Cricetulus griseus: one gene and its partner. The protein of the gene in region 1 interacts with the protein of each later gene in a pairwise test. Links are inferred from orthologs where the notes say so. Each region holds a gene or a part of one and is shown on either strand. Other genes may lie near its edges.

Region 1 (9,929 bases):
TAACTGGAGTCAAAGATATGTCTGACCTGATGGTGACACATTCAGAAATTATGAACCCTTTACTGAAGTTTATGAAATATTATTGTACTTGGCTATGATATAAAAACCAGGGTCGGTTCTTTTATAGAAATTGTGTTATACAGCGGATATGAACAACTGTGAACATGCAGACAGAAGGAAAATAGAGGCTGGGCAGAGTATTGTTGGCTGTTTTGGAATTTTCCTGTTACTATGTATCCATTAGCAGCTCTCTGAATTCCTTGTCTACACCTTTGACAGAAAGTTCACGGGAGATACCTTCAATTGAGATGACTCTCAGGGTTAGATTAATTATTCCTGCTGGAAACCGCAAGGTGGGAGGTAAAAATGACCTTCATATTCAGTACCAAACAGAACTTCAGGCTGTGACTGGAGAAAACTCATTTTCCCCCTTTGGGAAATGAAGCCCAAGTTCAGGAAATTGTGACAAAGATTAGAGGAGCTTTATGTGCTTATTCTACACAGAGTGCCCCCCCCCATCCCAGGGGTGGTGGCAAGAGGGGTGAGAACATGCTTCCTAAGACTAGCTCTACTCATAACAACCCAATGAGGGAGCTACCATTATCCTTACTATTTTATAGATGAAAGCACTGAGCCACAAAGACACAGTGACTTAGTGACACTAAATGGCTGGTGGTAGTTGTCATGGATGCTATGACAGTGACTTTCCGGCCATGTCAGGGTCTCCCAGTGTCTGGGTTTTTCCACCAGGTGGAGTAAGACTCCCTTACAGGTGCCCCACACCAACTTCTGGACTTTTCCATAGCTGAGAGTTACCCTGAAGGGGAAGTGGGAAACCGACCAGGACCTGCTTTGAACTTGGCGATGGCGCTGAAGAGGGCTGCAGACCTCTCGGAGCAGGCATCTATGAGGCTGACCGTGTCATGACCGTTGTGGAAAGCGATCTTGCAGAAGGCGCAGAGCAGCTGGTTGTCACTGCGACAGTACTCGTTGATGCGACTGGACGGGTGGTGGATGCAAATCTTCTCGTCCTGGTCCTCGGCGCTGGTGTCCACAAAGACATGGTCCTGCATGGCCACATCCGAGTGGAAGGCCTTGAGGCATTCGTTGCACAGGTTGAGGCGGCAGGTGATACAGCGCTTGTAGGCGATGCGACGGGTCCGGCACACCTGGCAGAGGATGGGCCCTGAGGATCGGTCGAAGCGCCACTTGAGGTAGCCATGCTGCTGCATATAGCGTTTGGTGAGGCGCCCGCGCAGATAGTTTTCTGGAAGGTGCGTCTGGTGGCTGTAGGGCATGCAGTGCGAGCGGTTGCACATGGGGCAGATGAGGATAAAGAAATTCTCGGTGACCTCAGCGTGTTTTTGCAGCTGCCGCAGACACTTCTCACACAGGCTGTGGTTGCACGGCAGCATGAAGGAGTGCAGGCGCAGCCGGTTGCACATGGGGCAGGTGAGATGGCTCACCAAGTTGTTGCTGGGGGTCATGGACTTCAACTCCTCCAACTGTGTCTCACTGCTCCCTATGCGAAGGGCGGTCTTGGAGCTGAAAAGGAAAAGCAAACACAGGCTTCAGGAACGCACTCAAGAATTCCAGAGGGATCTATCCAGGGAGGTGGTCCACTGGAATGGTGATGAAATGGCTCCTGCTAGGTGCCTGCCTTCTTGGCTTGCCTCCACTATCTTAGAAAATAAACTCAGTAAGGCATTTGGGACCTGCTGCTGGTACCCAAGGTGTGGCATTTTTTAAAGATGATTAAGGCTGAATTTAATGGCTGTTTGGACTGAGTACAGCCCCTGGGCTCAGCCAGAGTCCTGCAGTGCTAATTTTAATTGTGAGGGAAAGAAAAACAGCACATCAGCAGGGGTTTGTTGTGGTCAGCTGGGCCTGGATGTTCCACAGCATATTAGTAGCCGCCACAATACATCAACAGGAGACAGGGCCACAGTGACTTTGATGGATCGGAGCAGAAGGGATACCACTGCATGATGCTGGAACTCAGACCAGAACATTGTCCAAATCACCAATAAGACCTCCTACCCTCCTGTGCAGGGGGAATGGGAGTGATTAGGCCTGCTCTTTCTCTTTCCAGAAGCAGATTGGGGTTCCATATGTTCTAGCTGCCTTCTAGACAAGAGTAAGAGAACCAACAGATTGACTCTACTCTTACTAACATGAGCGCTAGCCTGTGATGGCCTGTGATGGCTTCTTACCTTGGTATTTCACACTGGCATGGAATGGAACATGTTCCCACTTGATACAATGAATCAACAAATCCAATCTTGCCCAGTTATAGGCATGCTTTTGGTGGCTGTGCCTGGCATGTGGTGACATTACCGTTCCTGTTGCATGTGGGATGGGACATAGGGAGGTAGTAAATGACCTTACTAAAACAAGACAATCTCTGAGCTGAGCCAAGAACCCGAGAGCTGACTTTCAGACCATCAGTAATACACAAGGGTCTGCCTCTGGGAAACGGACATGTGACAGAGTATGGAAGTTTTAGAGTTGCTGGTTTAGGGAGTTTCTGAATCTCTTTTATCCTCAGTTCCCCAACTGGAAATCAAAGATGACAGCACTTCCTTGGGAGTTTATGAAGTATACCTGAGATGATCCATTGGAAGTGTGGATGTGGTCCCTGCAATCCCTCTCCTGTGCTATTCACCAGCTAATGGCCACAGTAGAGGAGGAAACCACAATAGGAGGAAATAGTATTCAAGCCCATGAACGCCCACACACGCATCTACTGTTGTGAGTTACAGGTCTTTATTTGTCTAATATCTGAGGTCAGTTTTATGTATTCAGTGGTAAGATCTACTAATGGCGGGAGGCTGCACTTGTGGAATTCAAGTGCATGCTCTGAGAAGCTGCAGTCAGTGTAAAAGCAGTTAGGGAAGTAAGTGACTTGGCTGTGATGAACACATTGTGGCTATTCCTACCATTTCCCTGTGCATAACAAGGTACTGGTCTTGGTGTTGGGCTGTGTCCTCTTCTGTCCTAGTCTTCCTGATTTCCCTTTGTCTCCTCCTCCTCTTTCTTGGCCAAGAAACCTGTGTCTCAGAGCACTGGCAGTCAAAGGTGCTTCCCAAGCATATTGTCCTAGGGTGGCTCTGAGTCACAGAGTGCCCCCGTATATCCTTAGACATCCAGACAGCCAACTCAGCCCTGAGGGCTTGGATGCTGAGATGCAGGCTGGCAGCCTCACAATTTTCAGCCTTGTTTTCTCTTGACTTCCCAGCCTCCTGCTTGTTCCTGGAAGGGTCACCTGGAGTCACGAGTTGATTGGACATGTGGTAGCTGCATGGACTTCTTTGATAAAAATGTAAGACTCAGAATCAGTATATAGTAAATGGAGAGAGTGTAAGAGATCAGAAAGAGAGAGAGAAGGGAGAGCAAGTAGGACTACGAGACACCTGTTAATGGTGCAAGGGGCTGCAGTAATTGTGAGAAAGGGAGTGAGGAAAAGAATGAAGCTAGCAAGGCTAAGTTAGACCAGAGTGAGGGAGAAATGAGGATGCTGTGCCGGCAAGGGGTTTGGAGACCAGGAGAGCAGAGTTGGAAGGTAAGTACCAGTGAATCAGAGCTGACTCCCTGGCACTTGCATCGCATCCCTGCCCACACTCAAACAGAATGAAGACCCCCAAGTAGGCTTCTGGGCCCCTAGATCCTATGCCAAAGCAGTCACTAAGCCCAGCATCTTTGCCTTCTTGCTGAAGTGCTCAGCCACTGCTTCTCTGCATCAGTCCCTCCATCCTGAGTGCTGCCCTGTTCTGGCATCTGCCTTCTAAGCCTCCAGGTCCCATCCTCAACTCCCCCAGTCTTCCCATTAGAATCACCTGATAGGGATAGAGTGCTTACAATTTTGAAGCCCAAGTTTTACCCCAATATCAGTGAAAAATAGTATGTTGAGGAGTGGAGTCCAAACATGATGAGTGTTTTGAAAGATCCCAAGGGGATTTTCATGCACTTCCAAGTTTGGGAGCCACTGATGCCTAAGGCGTCTGCCTAAAGCACAAATTTCAGTCCCACTCCTAAGGACTGAGCTGTGATCACCCCTCCTCTGTGAAATCTCCTCTTGCTCCTAAGTCCCCTGACATGTGACATAGAAAGAATAGTATGCTAGATGTTGGGCTTGCTACCTTACTGAGTGGTTGAGAACCTGAGTGTCAGGACTTTGGATAGGAAAGAAGGGGTGACCAGCAGTTCAAGTACCTCTGTAGGTTATTAGGGTCAAAAGTGGTACCTAGAAGTTCTTACTTCTCAGGTAAATGTTATAGTTCATAGGAGGGAGATGGAGAACAGTTGGTATTTTCTTTTTGTATCCTATAACAGGCTACAGAACATACAGCATATCATGGTCTACATTTTGTAATATGGATTTTTTTTTTAATTAGAGACCATTGACCTAGCTCTGGATTCAAGTAATGACTCTACCCCTTCCTAGCTGTGTGGCTCTGGGCAACTTAGCATCTCCCAGTTAAATATCCTCCTGGGTCCAGTGGGCACAGAATGAGGGAGAGGAATGGTTACATAAGCAGTTATACACCTATCACTTGTTTGCAAGATGAGATGTTTGGGGTCAAAGGGTGCAGCATGAATTCGCATCCGTGATGGAGTTTGGGTGTGGGACTTGAGGTCTATACCACCAGTGGATGCTCACTTTGCTCGTAACTGCTACAAAATTACCATTGATTTTTTTTTCTCTCTCTCCCAGGTAGAGTGCACTCTAGGAAACACTGGCTTGTTCTGGGGTCCCTACAGATAGCATGAGTTCCCCAGGGTTTTTGTTGTTGTTTCTTCCAATGTAACCACAGGATGGATGGCCAGCACTTACGAGATACGGAGGGTCCGAAGGCGACCCCTTCTGAATGTGATGATGGCATTGTGGCAGCAGCGGCTCTCATAGTAGTAGCATTTCATATTGGTGTTGGATGTGCAGCAGCACTTACAGTTGGGGTCATTGGCCCAGGAGCAGCAACACCAGTGACAATTGGGGTTCTCCGCACAGGTGCAGTGGCAGAATTGGCAGTTCCGCTCATCCTTGTAGGGACAGGGGAAGCAGGTACAGTTCCGCTCTGCGGTGAAGATGAACTTGCAGCACAGACAGGAGAATAGCCGAGGGCAGCATCTCTGCCAGGTGCAGCATGGAGAACAAACACACATAGCCGACTCCATGGCTCTAAGATCCTTGGTACTAGGCCTCTAGAGTTTTGACAACTTCCTCTACCAGATTCCTGAGGTCACTTCTCCCTCAGAGGGATCCTTGCCACCTCTAGTGATGCTGGCAGTTTGGGAGTTGTGGCAGGAAGTTGGCCAGTTTAGGAGGCCTTCACAGGTGATGTCCCTCCTAGGAAGCTTCTGAGCTGGCTTTAACCTATTTCAGCCTGTGGACATTTGCTTATGTCATAATCCCTGACTCCCACCATGCCTTAACATGCTAGGTAAGAGGAGGACACCCAGGGGGCAGTATCCAGTATGTGAGTGCATACTGGAAGTTTTCATGCGAGCAACTCCACAGGAATGGTGGCACCCTGAACCTCTTGGAGACATTAGCGGTCATTTGTCACCTTTCAAGTTCTCACACAGATTTCGGCTGTGGCTTTTCCTTGGTAGGTAGGTACTTTTCCTGATATTTGGGTAAGTTGACTTCAGGATTTATCTTTATTGACTGAAAGACCAGGGTCTGACTATTAGAAATCCAGGCCGACATGGTTTTTCTCTTCCATCAACAGAACTCTTTGACAAGCCAAGCACAATATTTACAAATAATGGCAGTGTCACGATCACTCTAAAAAGAAGGAACCGAAGGGACAGAGATGTGGGGTCCCTCAGGAGCTCCCTTCTTTCAGTGGACCCTGCTCATGTTCCTGAGGCATTACACTTAAATCACTCAGATTTGGGTCTTAGGCTTTGTTTCCTCTCCCCTGGACCCTCTGTCCCACTCCATTCCACCCAAGCCCACCCCACTGTATCCATTTATCAAGAGGCTAGGTTACACAATCATTAGCTACTCTGTCAATGTGTACCCAGGAGCCCCAGAAACAGGGCCCTATAGATGGGGGAGAATTTTGCTTTCCTCTTGGTGCAGCTTGCAAAGATGAAAGGAGCAGAGGTTTCATGGCCACACCATCCTAGAACAGGAACACTGTCTCATTAGATTTCCAAAAGATAGCAGAAGTGAGAGCTGAATTTGGCTGCGGGAGTTTTAGTGAATAATTTATTATCTCTTCCCATGATTATCACCTTTGTAATAGGAAAGAACACTCACTGAGTGCTAACTGGGCCAGCCTCACACAGAGCTTAGATCTCTCTGCAGTTGAAAATCCTGAATCCTAGGGTATGCTTTATCTGTTGATAGATCTTATTAAATTATTACTCCAAAGCATACTTCAGATTACACCAGCACCGGGAGTAGGTGCATGACACCTCTGTGTTTGCCCAAATTCAGTGTTGTCAATAAGCTGCCGACACCAGGGGTGCAGAGATCTGAGTTCCATTCACAGGCCATTTCAACATTGGTCTCTATAAGGCTTCCTTCTTTCTCTTTTTAAAAACATTGAGATGTAATTCACTCACCATGAAAGTGAACAAGTCAATGCCTTTTGGTGTATTCATTAAATTACATTAAATTCATTATCTAATCCCAAAACATGTCTGTCTCCCCCAAAAGACACTCATGAGAAGTCATTTCCTCCTCTATTCCCCCAGCCCTCATTAAACAATCTTTCTGATTTATGCATTTGCCTATTCTACAAATGGAATAATATGGAGTTCTTTTGTGTCTTGTTTCTTAATACATTTTGGTTCATGTTGAACCACACATGAGATTTCAGTGTGTGTGTGTGTGTGTGTGTGTGTGTGTGCGTGGGCAAACACACGTGTGTGTGAATACATGTGTTTGTTGGGTGTGCCTGCCTGCATGTGCATATATAGAGGTTAGAGAGTGCTCTTAGCCACAGCCAGACACGCTTATTCTTGTAGTGGCTAATCTTTTTGCAGAGACTCATAACTGGTCAAAACGCTGCGAATATGTGAGTCTGAGTGGTCAGCCATAGAGGGGTCACCCACATCAACTCCCCACAACTTAAAGCTTGGGAACATTGGAGGAGAGTGGACATGAAGAATGTAAGAGCTGGATGATGGCTAAGAGAACTACAAAATGGTAGCTACAAAAGCTGAGATGACCTGTACAGATCAAACCACTACAATTTCCAGCATTTTGGGGGGACTGACTCTGAAGTGCTACCCTTAGCTGAGGAGTTTTGACAGGGATAGTGTGTGCCCATGTCCTGGTGGATGCTCCTCCATCCATATGTTTATGGACAGCACTAATTGGGCTTAATTGTTTATTAGACAAAAACTGTAAGAGGACATGCAGATGAGAGGGAGAGCCCTCGGGGAGTCTTGGTGGCAGTTGGAGGTAGGCAGTGGGGGGTAGATATGATCAAAATTATGAAACTTTTAAAGAATAGTGAGATTAGACAATCCCATGTGATCTGGCCAATTATATAGACTATCAAATGAAGGGAGCTCCATAATTCTTTTTATGTGACCAAAATGAATTCATTAAACCTAAACTGACTCACACAAAAAAATGGAGTTAAGAAAAGGCAAACTGAGCCCATCTAATTTGATGGCACACAAATAAAAGTTTTTAATAAAGTATCCGGAAGATTGCAATAACACATTTAAAAAGTCATGCAAACTTATCTTTTGCCAGTTGTTCTAACAGGACTCTTCTCACAATCTTTTAGTCACCTGCATGTGTGCAGAAGACACATTTGGCATAAAATGAGTGTGTGTGTTAAAACACCAAATACTATGGGGGGTTTATATATAGCTACTTTTTCAAAAAAGACCAAGTCTTGCTGGGTGGCCTAGGCTAACACAGGCTAACAATTCTCTTGCCTCAGCTTCTCCGTGGGTGGTAGTGCAAATCTGATTTAGAGTTGACTTCTTAATGTAATGAAATTTAAATATTTCAGCCTCAAAGCCAGTACAATGTTAGAAAATACCCAGGGGTTCCTGGGAAATGCAAGATAAAAGGCAGTGATACCTAATATCCACTACTACTCACTCTGATTTGGGGAGTTCTGCACAGCAACCCAAGTAGGAGACAGGGCTTACAGAAAACAACTAGGTACCGCATGAAGAGCAAAATCAGACAAGCCACACTACCTCAGACAAAAATACTGTTCGGGCAAGGGAAAAAACGCAGATAAGGCAGTCTATAGAACCAGAGGAAAACACGTGCAAAACATATATCTGAGAAATAGTTTGTATCTCTAAGGCATAAGGAATTTCTACAGCTCAATAGTAAAAAGCCCCCCAGTTTTGTTTTTGTTTTTGAGACAGGGTTTCTCTATATAGCTCTAGCTGTCCTGGAACTCACTCTCTAGACATAGCATGCCTTGAACTCACAGAAATCCACCTATCTGCCTACCTGAGTGCTGGGATTAAAGGTGTACACTATCATGGCCTGGTCCACATAACTTTTTAAGATAAACAACTTTTCACCCCAAACAGATGTTTTTCCAAAGAAGACGTCCAATCTCTAAGTTTGTGAGGAGGTGCTGAATAGCTAGTCATCAGGATGGATGAATCACACCCACAAGGACATAGTTGTATTATACCATATAGACAAATGCAGTATGCATTGATCAAATCAGTGTATTTAATGTTTCCTTCTTAATACTTGTGTTTGCAGCCTCTTATGTCTGCTACCACCACCCATGGGATGCCTGCTAGGTCACTGTGGACTAGTGCTCTGCTTTGGCAGCTCTGCTGTAGAACACTAGAATTTATTTCTTTTCTTTTCTTTATTATTTTAAAAAAGATTTATTGTTTTATGTGTGTGTGTGTGTTTTTCCTGCATGGATGTATGTGCATCATATGTGTGCCTGTGGCCTACAGAGGGTGTGGTATCCTTTGGAACTAGAATTATAGATGATTGTGAGCCACCATGTGGGTGCTGGGAATTGAACCCAAGTTCTCTGTAAAAACAAAGGCTCTTAACCACTGAGCCATCTTCCAAGCCTCCTTCCTCCTCCTCCCTTTTAACTCATTATCTACCCTCCCTCTACCTTCTCTCCTACCATCCTGTCTTCTAATAATCATGGTCCCACATTCAGACTGATTTGTTTATCATTCATATGTGAGGGAGACTAGTCTTTCTATGTCTAGACTATTTTACTTGACATAATATTCTCCTGTTCCATTAATTATGCTACAGATGATTGGATACAATTCTATTTTTCTTTCTTTCTTTCTTTCTTTCTTTCTTTCTTTCTTTCTTTCTTTCTTTCTTTCTTTCTTTTTGAGACAGGGTTTCTTTGTGGCTTTGGAGGCTATCCTGGAACTAGCTCTTGTAGACCAGGCTGGTCTCAAACTCACAGAGATCCACCTGCCTCTGCCTTTCGAGTGCTGGGATTAAAGGTCTGTGCCACCAACTTCTGGTGATACAATTCTTTTAATGGATGACTAATATTACATTGTATGTATATATTGTCACATTTTTTTATATTATTGATGGACATCTAGGTTGATTTACATCTTAGCAAATCATGAATTGTTTAAAAATAAACATAGGACATGCTTTCTTTGATATGACTTTACATTATTTGAGTTTACATCTAGAACAGTGGTTTTCAACCTGTAGGTCGCAACCCCTTTGTGCATTGCGTATCAGATATTTACATTAAGATTCATAACAGTAGTTAAATTAGTTTTGAAGTAGCAACAAAAAGAATTTTATGATTGGAGGTTACTACAACGTGAGGGACTGCATTAAAGGGTCACAGCTTTAGGAGGGTTGAGAACCACAAATTTAAAAGAAAAATAGTTGAGTTGTGTGATAGATTTATTTTTAGTTTTTTTTAAGAACCTTCATCTTACTCACTTAATAACTATTTTATTTAACTTTCCTACCA
Region 2 (9,928 bases), on another chromosome or scaffold:
TGTGTGACGTCAAACTTCAGTTTACAGGGAGAATGGGTCCAGCATCCGGGTTACAGCAACATCTGCTAACAGAGCCAGAGTCATCTCTCCGAGTCTTTTCTCCCCGTGCCTTCCACAGGGCTAAAATGTGAAGATGCTTCTGGCTGTGGGAGGGGCATGGAGGAAGAGTTGAGGCTAGTGACAGTAATATCAGGTCTTTGATCCCAGAGGACAGTGGTCAAGGGGCTTCCCTTGATCGAGGGACACATTCCCCTTTAGCTATTGTTGTGACTACAAAGTCCTTGTTCAACTTTCCATGAACGTAGAGGTATGAAAAAATCAGAGCAAGAGGGATCCAGACTCAGACAGTCTCTGCATACACAGTCATCCCTCAGGATGTGCTGGGGATTGGTTCTGGGACCTTCTGGAAATCATCATTCTCCAATGCTCAAGCCCCTCAGACAAGGTGGTGTAGTGTTCGCACATAGCCTTGGGGAATACCTTAAATGCACACAGTTTGAATACAGCTGCAATTGTTCCCTGCAGGCGGTTGGCCCACAGAGCGGAAGGACCTGTGGCTGTGGATGGCCCGGATCACACAGCAAGGCAGATTCCAGCCAATGGCTTTTATAGATCCAGTTGTCCAAAACCTCCCATGTCTGCTCATCCCGTCTCTTCTCCAGCTCCTCTCACTCCCCCAGGAAGCGCCCTAATGCTATTTGGGGGCGCCCTTCCAGCAAGAGCATCTGCTGTGGATGTCTGCACATGCAGTAAGTCTATCCTTGAAGCCCCTGCCACCAGGGTTCTCTAAAGGCAGGCGGGGTGCACACCCAGGGCATGTGTGTGTGTACATATGCACATGTATGCACATGTATGCATATCCCTGTAGTCATGTGTGTACATGTATGTACTTGCTTGGTGGGTTCTTGGTCCTACTAGTCAAGCCTACTGCTGACACACTGGCCTACCGTTCCCATAAGAGTCCAGTCCCTGCACATACGGATAAGAACGGCCTCCAGAATCAGTACAGAATTCTACCAGGAACATGCTTCCTGGATTCACTTAAAAGGGCAAAGTTACAAAAGGCACTGGCTGACGGTCCACTCTATACTTGGCTTTGGGTCAGAGATGAGCCAGAACTCTGATCACAGAGGCTCGGCCTTTCACCGTTCCTTGCTGTACCTCACCTAGCAGAGGATAGATACCCAACCCACCCGGGGGCAGCCGGAAGGGTCAGGGTTCATAACTTCAAGGATAGATGGGGACATGTAGACAGGGATTTGTGACTTGCCCAAGGACATGCAGAACTCTGAGTAGACTCCAAGACCCCCAAGGCTGGGTCTCTAGAGGGTTAGGAGCACCTCAGTTCTTAGCTCGGGACTGAAACAAGCAGCTAAAGCGAACATGAAACCAAATCAGACTCTGCAAACCAGACACTGTGCTCTGCCAGACTCTGATGAGACTGTCTAAGGAGCAATACGATAATGACAATTAGGTCAGGTCCATTGCCAGCACTACACACACGTTACTAAAATGTGGCAGGGATGGCGAGCCCCGTTTAACACACGGGAAGTCAAGGCTGGAAGAAGATGAATAGTATGCCCAAGATTGCACCGAGAGAAGGATGCCAAGATTGTCCCCAGCCCTCCTGTTCCCAAAATCGATTCCTTGTGACACTGGCTTTCCTCAAAAGGAAGGACATAGATAGAGCTGGGTGTCCTCATTTATTTTGGGTCACCATATGCTCAAACCCTAAACTAAGATATCTTCTTAAGGAAATTTAAGGAAAAAAAAAACCGTCAGAGAGAAGCTGCTGTATGAACAAGCTGGCTGAGATTACTCGTGGGTGGGAGAGACGTGTGTGTGTGTGTGTGTGTGTGTGTGTGTGTGTGTGTGTGTGTTAAACAGCTCAGCTCTGTATCTTTTCCTGAATTCTACTTGGCCAATCCAACAGAATGGAGCCTGCTTTTTCTGAGCATTAGATACTAAAAGATTTATTGAAGCTGGCCAGACACTACCCAGCTCATCCAATCCCCTGACAGACCTGGTTCTGGAAGGTCTAATTAGAAGATGGAGGGAAAATCCAAGGAGCCTTCCAGGGACAGGTGCTAAGTAAATTCATTCGGCTCTTTGCCTTCAGAACATGCTCGGCTTGCACAGCAGCTGGAAGAACCATGACTTAGGCATTCCAAGCCCTGGGGAAGTTGTGTTTCCATTGTTTCAGCTTCCAAAGACCAAAGCTGGGTCCTTAGCCCACACTCAACTTTCACTCTATTATACAAAGCTATTTATTTGGCTTTTCAGCTTATCGCATTATTGACATTGTTGGGTTTAATTAAAGGGAGGGACACTGGGGTCACGTTGCTGTCTACACACAAGCTGCAAGTGGTAGCCCTCATCATACTCTCACAAAGCTGATGGGACCCCCCAGGGAGCTCCCCTCTCCCCGCCCCCCTTCTCCATTCTGCTTCTGTTCAGTTCTGCTCAGTTCCGGAACTGAACAGAACCCGCCCGCTAGATGATAGAGGAGGGGTGAAGAGAAGAAGGGAGGGATGGACAAAGAAAGAAGGGGAAGAAAGCAAGAGGAAGAAGAAGAAGAAGAAGAAGAAGAAGAAGAAGAAGAAGAAGAAGAAGAAGAAGAAGAGAGAGAGAGAGAGAGAGAGAGAGAGAGAGAGAGAGAGAGAGAGAGAGAGAGAGAGAGAGAGGAGCTGAGAAAGAAGACATGGAGAAGGAAGACGGTGAAGAGGTAAGCGGAAAGGACAAAGAGGCCGCCACATCCAGCCCTGGACTCTGCGGAGAGGGAGAGGGAGAGAGACCAGACTTCCTGCCTTCAGAGACTCCACACTGATGGGACAGGCACGAGTGGACCAGCAGACTGCCGTGAAGCCTGGGGCACATCCTGCTCCACGGGGCAGAGGGCATGAGAACGGTGCAGACAGGTGAGGAAGGGCACGGAAGACTTTCAGAAAAGCTGCCACGCAGACTACAGTTTGAAAGATGAATGGGGACAGTGAAAACAGAAGAGGGGGCTAAGAGAAGAATGCACATGAAAACACCTAGTATAGAACAGAGGGCCACCAGGCCCCTTTTCGGGATGCAACTGCACCATCACCAAGGCTCAGAAGCAGGGGGAGTGGCCAGCATCCACAAGCCCCGCCCTCAGCTCCAATCTCTCTCTGATCCCTTAGGCACAGGCTCTCTCTCTGCTATTACTACTTCTGCCTCTAGACCCCTGGTCCCAATGCCACGCATTGGATGTGCGTCGTGACCTTGACCACGTGAATTCTTTGAGGGCATGGCCTATAACTGAGTGAGAACACCCCTTCTACCCTGCGCTGAGCACCCCAAAAGCCAGGCCCCCCGTACAGAGACACTCACAGACATGTGCATGGATCTGTAAGTTGTCTCCTGGAGACAGTGTGGTTCTGGGAAGAGCCAGAGACCAACCTGACTCCCGCTAAGAAGAGCTCTTGACATGGACAGCCAGCAGAGCCGTGGCTCGGAGCCTGGCAGCTTCTGACTTGTCGCCTATGGCAACATGGCAGGGGTAGTGGCTGTGGAGGGGCTACAAACAAGGGCTAAGCCAGCAGGAGAGGCTGCTCCAAGAGTCTGAGCGGCGTGGGGAGAGGAAGTTAGGCTTCACTGCCACTCATGGCTAGAGCAATAGCGTACGGCAGTGAAGGGAGGGGTGGCCCGCCACCCTTCCAGCGTGCTGAAGCTCACCGCTGTGGGCCTGGCTGCCCTGCAAACCCCCCCCCCCCCCCGCCGCCCATCACCACCACCAGAACATGCTCGGCTTGCTCAGCAGCCGGAAGAACCATGACTTAGGCATTCCAAGCCCTGGGGAAGTTGTGTTTCCATTGTTTCAGCTTCCAGAGACCAAAGCTGGGTCCTTAGCCCACACCACCACCAGTCTCTTCTCCCTTCCTGGCCTCCTCCTCTTCTTCCCAGCCTCTCCCTCCGCGTTGCCTTTTCCTCCTCCTGCTCCTCTTTGATCTTTCTCCCCGGCCTCCTCACCTTCCTTTCACCTCTCTGTCTCCCTCCAACTTGTCTTCTCTTCCTCCTTTTCCCTCCCTCCCTTCCTCCTCTTTACCCTTCCTCCATACCCCCTCCTCCTCCCCTTCCTCCTCCCCTTCCTCCTCCACCTTCTCTCCCTCCTCCCTCCCTCCCCCCTCCCTCTGGCTTTCTTTCCCTTCCTTCTTTCTCCATCCCTTCCTCCTTCTCTCCTCTTCTCCTCATCCTATCCTCCTTTGTTCTCCTTCTCCCTGGACCTATGTGCCCTGCCTCCTGCTTCTAACTCACTTCTCTGTGGTGAGAGGAGACAGAGAAGGAAGCCTGAGGTCTAAGAGAGCCCAGGTGAAGAGCAGCTGCAGATGTCCAGATGGACATTACAAGCCAGAGTACACAGCTGTACCAGGAGACAGAAGGACAAACACACACACACACACACACACACACACACACACACACAGAGAGAGAGAGAGAGAGAGAGAGAGAGAGAGAGAGAGAGAGAGAGAGAAGGCTCAATTAGAGCCAGGACTTTCCCAAGTCTAAAAACTCCAGAATGCTTGACAAATTCAAAAACAGAAACAAAACAAAACACCAGCCCTTGCTCTGGATTGATTGCTTTGCCTTGGGGCCTGAAAGGGAACCACAGCCCTCACCACAGTCCTGCCAGGCAGAAGGTGGCGGACGGACCCCTACGGAATAGCACCCTGGGTTCTGTTCATTTTCTGCCTCTCCTATGACCACCTGCCACCTCTACTGTGACCCAGAGCTGTCTGTCTGCAGCGATTCCGCACAGGTCACAGCAACCTGTTTACAAACAGCTAGAGTTCCAAGGCTCTCTTAGGACAAGGGACTCGGGATGCATCCAAATGGACAGCAAAGCCTTGGTCAGAGAATCCGTCCCTCCCTTTCTATTTATGCCGATGTAAACACTCGCCAAGGAAACAAGCCATGCAGGCATGCGCAGCCCTGCAGGCCCTCGGGTGGCTGCAAAAGGCAACTGGAAAGTCACATGTCATAACACTGGAAAGTACATATGCAGCTATTCTTAGGCTTGGAATGTATACACTGTCTGCCTGCCCGGCAGCCCTTGCACCGAGCTCTAGGAGCTGTGAAAGTGCCTGCAGCATAAACAAACCCAGAACTCATCTAGGACAGAGAATTTGCCAACAGAAGGAAAGGCCTGGGGTTTATGGTTTTATTCCAAGACTAAGGTAGAAACCTTCTGAGGGGACAAGACAAACCCGGCATCCGTGGATGTCACTGCAGCAAAACAAGGTAGGTGTCCCTAACTTGTCATTCCTCAGCAGGCAGACTGTCCATGTCACCAAGGAGCCACAGAAGTGTTTGGTGTTCTCTACTAATTACATCTTTAAAACAAAACCCAGAGACCATGCGGTCTTCTCTCTAGATCTGGCCACAGCCCGCTGTAATCCCTCACTTCTGTCCAGTGACCAGAAGACCACACCCCCAGAATGTCAGCCTTAGGGAATAACTAACTCCAAGAAAGATTTGTAGACAAGTTTACTGGCAAATCTGCTAATGATCTGGACAAAGGCATACATTACTTGTCAAATGCATGGACTGCTTTTTTTGTTTGTTTGTTTATTTTTGTGCCAGGCTAATATGTGAGTCTCTGACCATCAACTTTGGTTGGAAGAGGCCTAAGATTAGCTGGAGATGCTACATGTCTTTTATCTCTGAGGCTGTTCACAGCCTGAAGTAGATCACTTTGTGGTCTGCGATGAGGGTGGTTTCCTCTTCCCTCTTCAGTGTGCTCTGTTTGTGAACCCATTGACTTGGTAAATAGATACAATGAACGAGGCTTGGAGCCCCCACAGCTAACCCCTCTAGTACACGATGCCAGAAAGCCTTGACCTTGCTTCCATTTGGGGCTTCCCTCCTTCTTTGTAGGATGGATGAGGAGCTACCAGATGGGGTTGTCTTCAAAGACGACAACTTCTCCTCTGACTTGTTGAGACAGCTCAATGACTTAAGGCAGAGCAAGACCCTGACCGATGTGAGCATCTGCTCCGGAGCCTGGGAGGTCCCTTGCCACCGCAATGTGCTGGCCTCCAGCAGCCCCTACTTCAAGGCCATGTTCTGCAGCCACTTCCGGGAGAGCACGGAGGCCAAAGTGTGGCTGAAGGGCATCAACTCCAGCACTCTAGAGCAGGTCGTCACGTATGTGTACACGGGAGAGGTGCACATCACAGCTGCCAACGTCCTCCCCCTGATGGAGGCAGCCGCCATGCTGCAGTACCCCAGGGTGTTCGAGGCCTGCTCATCATACCTGCAGAGCCAGCTGGCCCCCAACAACTGCCTGGGCCTGGTCAGACTCGCGGAAATCTTAAACTGTGAAAGCCTTAAGAAGAGAGCCAGGGAGGTGGCCCTGACTTGCTTCCCAGAGGTAGCAGCGTCGGCTGACCTGAAGGAGCTCTGTGCCATGGAGTTGAGAGACTACCTAGGAGATGACAGGCTCTGCGGCGAGGAGGAAAAGGTGTTTGAGGCCCTCATGGCTTGGGTCAAGCATGACCTCCAGGCCCGATGGCCCTACATGCAGGAACTTCTGCAGCAAGTCCGGCTGCAGTACATACATCCTGCCTTCTTTCACCATTTCATTGCCAACGACGCTGTCCTCCAGTCGTCGCCCGCGTGCCGGGCCATCCTGGAGGCGGCCAGGAAGCAGATGTTCTCTTTGTACAGCCCCAGTGCCCAGGACTGCAAACTCGTGTGGCACGAACCCCCGAGGAGCTGCTACCAAGACTGCCTCCTTGTCCTGGGGGGCCAGAAGGACAACCAGCAGACCACCAGGGATGTCTTGCTCTACAGTGTACACACTGGCCAGTGGCAGAGCCTGGCCAAACTCCCCGCGCGGTTGTACAAGGCCTCGGCTGTCACCTTGCACCGCAGCGTCTACGTGCTCGGGGGCGTGGCTGTGAGGGAGGGCAAGAGTGCCGTCAGTGCCAGCGTGTATGTCTTCTCTCTGAAACTCAACCAGTGGAGACGCGGGGAGCCCATGCTGGCAGCCCGCTACTCTCACAGAAGCGCCGCCCACCGGAATTTCATCTTCTCCATCGGGGGCACCGGAGAAGGGCAGCAGCTCCTGGGTTCCATGGAGAGGTATGACAGCGTCTGTGATGTCTGGGAGAGCATGGCTGACATGCCAGTGGCCGTGCTCCACCCTGCGGTTGCCGTGAAGGACCAAAGGCTCTATCTTTTTGGGGGTGAGGACATCATGCAGAACCCTGTGCGCCTCGTCCAGGTAACCAGCCGGTCCTTCTCTCCACGCTAGGACCAAGTGTGCTTGTGTGTGCGCACACACACATACATAAATATACATGCCTAATACAATAGCATATACACACACACATATACACATGCATATCTGCAGCCATGTAAACATTCACATACACACGTATACACATAGCACACGCATAATTATATACAGACACACTCATACAGGCACATGTATAACTGAGTGAACATATATGCACACGTGTGTGCATGCATTCAGTCAGGTGTACATTCACTCACGTGAACATGCTAACAGTATAAACACATAAATACATGTATGTGCACACATGATTATGTGACATATTCGCATACACATGTGCGTGTATAACGCCATACATATGCAGACATGAACATATCATGACCAACACATGCACACATACATATGCAAGTCTACATGCATGGGCACATGCATGCACCCATATTACGCACACGTCTGTACACATGCGTGTGTATGTGTGCACTTGTGTGTACATGCATTTGTGTGAACACGTATCATAGCACATACATGTCATAAATATGTGCATATATGCATTCTTGTGTACCGTGTACATACATGCATGCATTTGTGTGTGTACCCATACATGCACTCTTATTTATCGTGGCATACACATATCTATGCACACGTGTGAACATATACACCTATGTACATATGTATGCATGCAGACATAGAATAGAATACACACTTGTGCACATATACACCTATGTACATATGTATGCGTGCAGACACAGAATAGAATACACACTTGTGCACATATGCACGCATGCATACATGTGTATTATATATGCCACATATGATAGTATATTCATCTGAGAACAAATGCATGTATTCGTGTGTGTGTATGAGTGTATACACATGCCCAGACAGGCACACACATACACACAGGCACACACACATAGCACACACACACATAGCATGCACGCATTTGCCTTTCTCAGGCCATGAAGAGAAGCAGGAAATTTTCAGTGGTGTTTGGCTTATGGATTTTTCTTGTGAGACTAATGCAAAGTCATGTCAGGTGCACCCCATCCGCAAAGAGCTTGTCTTCACTTGAAGGGAAATAACCTAGAAGTTCATGCTGAAACATATTTAAAACAAGACAGCACAGTGCTATAGAACGCTCGTGGTGCCGTTAACCCCCACTGCAAGGCTACCCTCCTCGCATGGAATCATGACATCTGTGCTTTACAGAGGTCTCCAGGAGCCTCTAAGGCATGACTGGGGCTGGGACCATGTGCCTGAAATGACAGGAGGAATTCATTTCACTAGCACAGGCCCTGAGATGTGTGTTTGAAAAGGGCCAACTTCAGAGCGTCGAGTGTCCATGCTCCGTGCAAGCTTTAATGACTGTGCCGCACGTGGTAAGCTTCCCTTACTATTTAGGCAACACCAGGGGTGGACTCTGTCTGTCCGCTGTCAATGACCTGAGAGGAAACAGAAAATTACATCTAACCCTCCAGGAGTTTACATGACAGCTGCAATTCGGAATCTGAAGATCCAAGTGCTGAGAGCTTAAGGGGTGTCCTAGATGGGACCAGAGGGAATGGCAAAGAGCATGAAGGTCCAGAGGAATTTGGAGAAAACTCCGTGAGAGGGTGAAAGAGGAGGGAGGCGTCAGAATGGATGCTAAGATGCTAAAAACGAGCAAGCAGCGGGGGGCCTGGCTGGGAGCGAAGAGCTGACAGCTGAAGACGGCAGAACTGTCTGCAGAGGGAGAGACGGACCTGGGTCCTTTGTACAGAGGCTCAGAAGAAAAGAGGAGGCAAGCGCTCTGCCTGCGGAGCGGAGAGCGTGACAGTGACAGCGTGACGTACAGTCGCCAGCGGAGTGAGGAGGAGAGAGGCTGCTTGCCAGACGGTAGCTGGGGAGGGAGCAGGTGTCAGCCCCGTGTAGTCTCCATCATCCCCTTCTTACGCTGCCCCAGCAGCCTCCTCCACCCAGATCCTGCCTCCAAGGCGCTCCTACCAAAATTATGGAACATTCCAGAATGGCTTGTGGAGAAGAAGCTGCTGCGGCTGGGCTTTGTGTATCTTGTCAGGAAACTGGGGTGGTGACCCGAGAGCGAGGGGGCAGAGAGAGCATCAGGTTTGCGTTTCAGCGCCCTCTACCTGTGGGTCGTGACCCCTCTTGAGGGGCCGAATGACCCTTCACAGAAGGTACATATCAGGTGTCCTACATGTCTGATGTTTACATTATGATCCATTCCAGTAGCAAAATTACACTTACGTGTTAGCAGTGGAATAATTGTATGGTTGGGGGTCGCCACAACACGAAGAACTGTCTTAAAGAGTTGAAGACTCAGGAACGTTGAGAACCACTGATCTAGATGCTTCTAGAGGAGGGAATGGAGAACACCCGGGGAAGAGAGCCGGAAGATGCTCCCAGAAGCCCGGACACAGGGTGCTGATGGCTTAGACCTCCGCACCTTCTTTCTGCAGCCCTTACTCCCCGTGAGCATCAAGAAGAGCCTCACTCTTCCAGAAGCCCCACCCCCAGTCCACCCATTGACTGGAGCTGGGGGGGACTCCACTGTGATCCTCAGGAGAGACCCACCAGGGCCCCGCCCACCTCTCTCGACTGTTTGCCCAAATAGAATCAACAGCTAGGCCGGTGACTTCACGCCGCCACAAGACTGTCACCAACTTC

The links.
Region 2: the proteins of Trim42 (region 1) and kelch-like protein 38 interact in binary tests that used the Homo sapiens proteins (3 or more experiments, as listed by UniProt). The two-hybrid records come from large-scale screens. The link is inferred for Cricetulus griseus from reciprocal best matches to the Homo sapiens genes TRIM42 and KLHL38.

Annotation. Positions count from the first base shown.
Region 1 is NC_048597.1:205,882,460-205,892,388, forward strand, and holds the start of Trim42 (tripartite motif-containing protein 42), read right to left. Parts: upstream 5,176-9,929; coding exon 4,835-5,175; intron 1,546-4,834; coding exon 848-1,545; intron 1-847.
Region 2 is NC_048603.1:29,293,694-29,303,621, forward strand, and holds the start of kelch-like protein 38, read left to right. Parts: upstream 1-4,488; 5' UTR 4,489-5,265; intron 5,266-5,901; 5' UTR 5,902-5,902; coding exon 5,903-7,252; intron 7,253-9,928.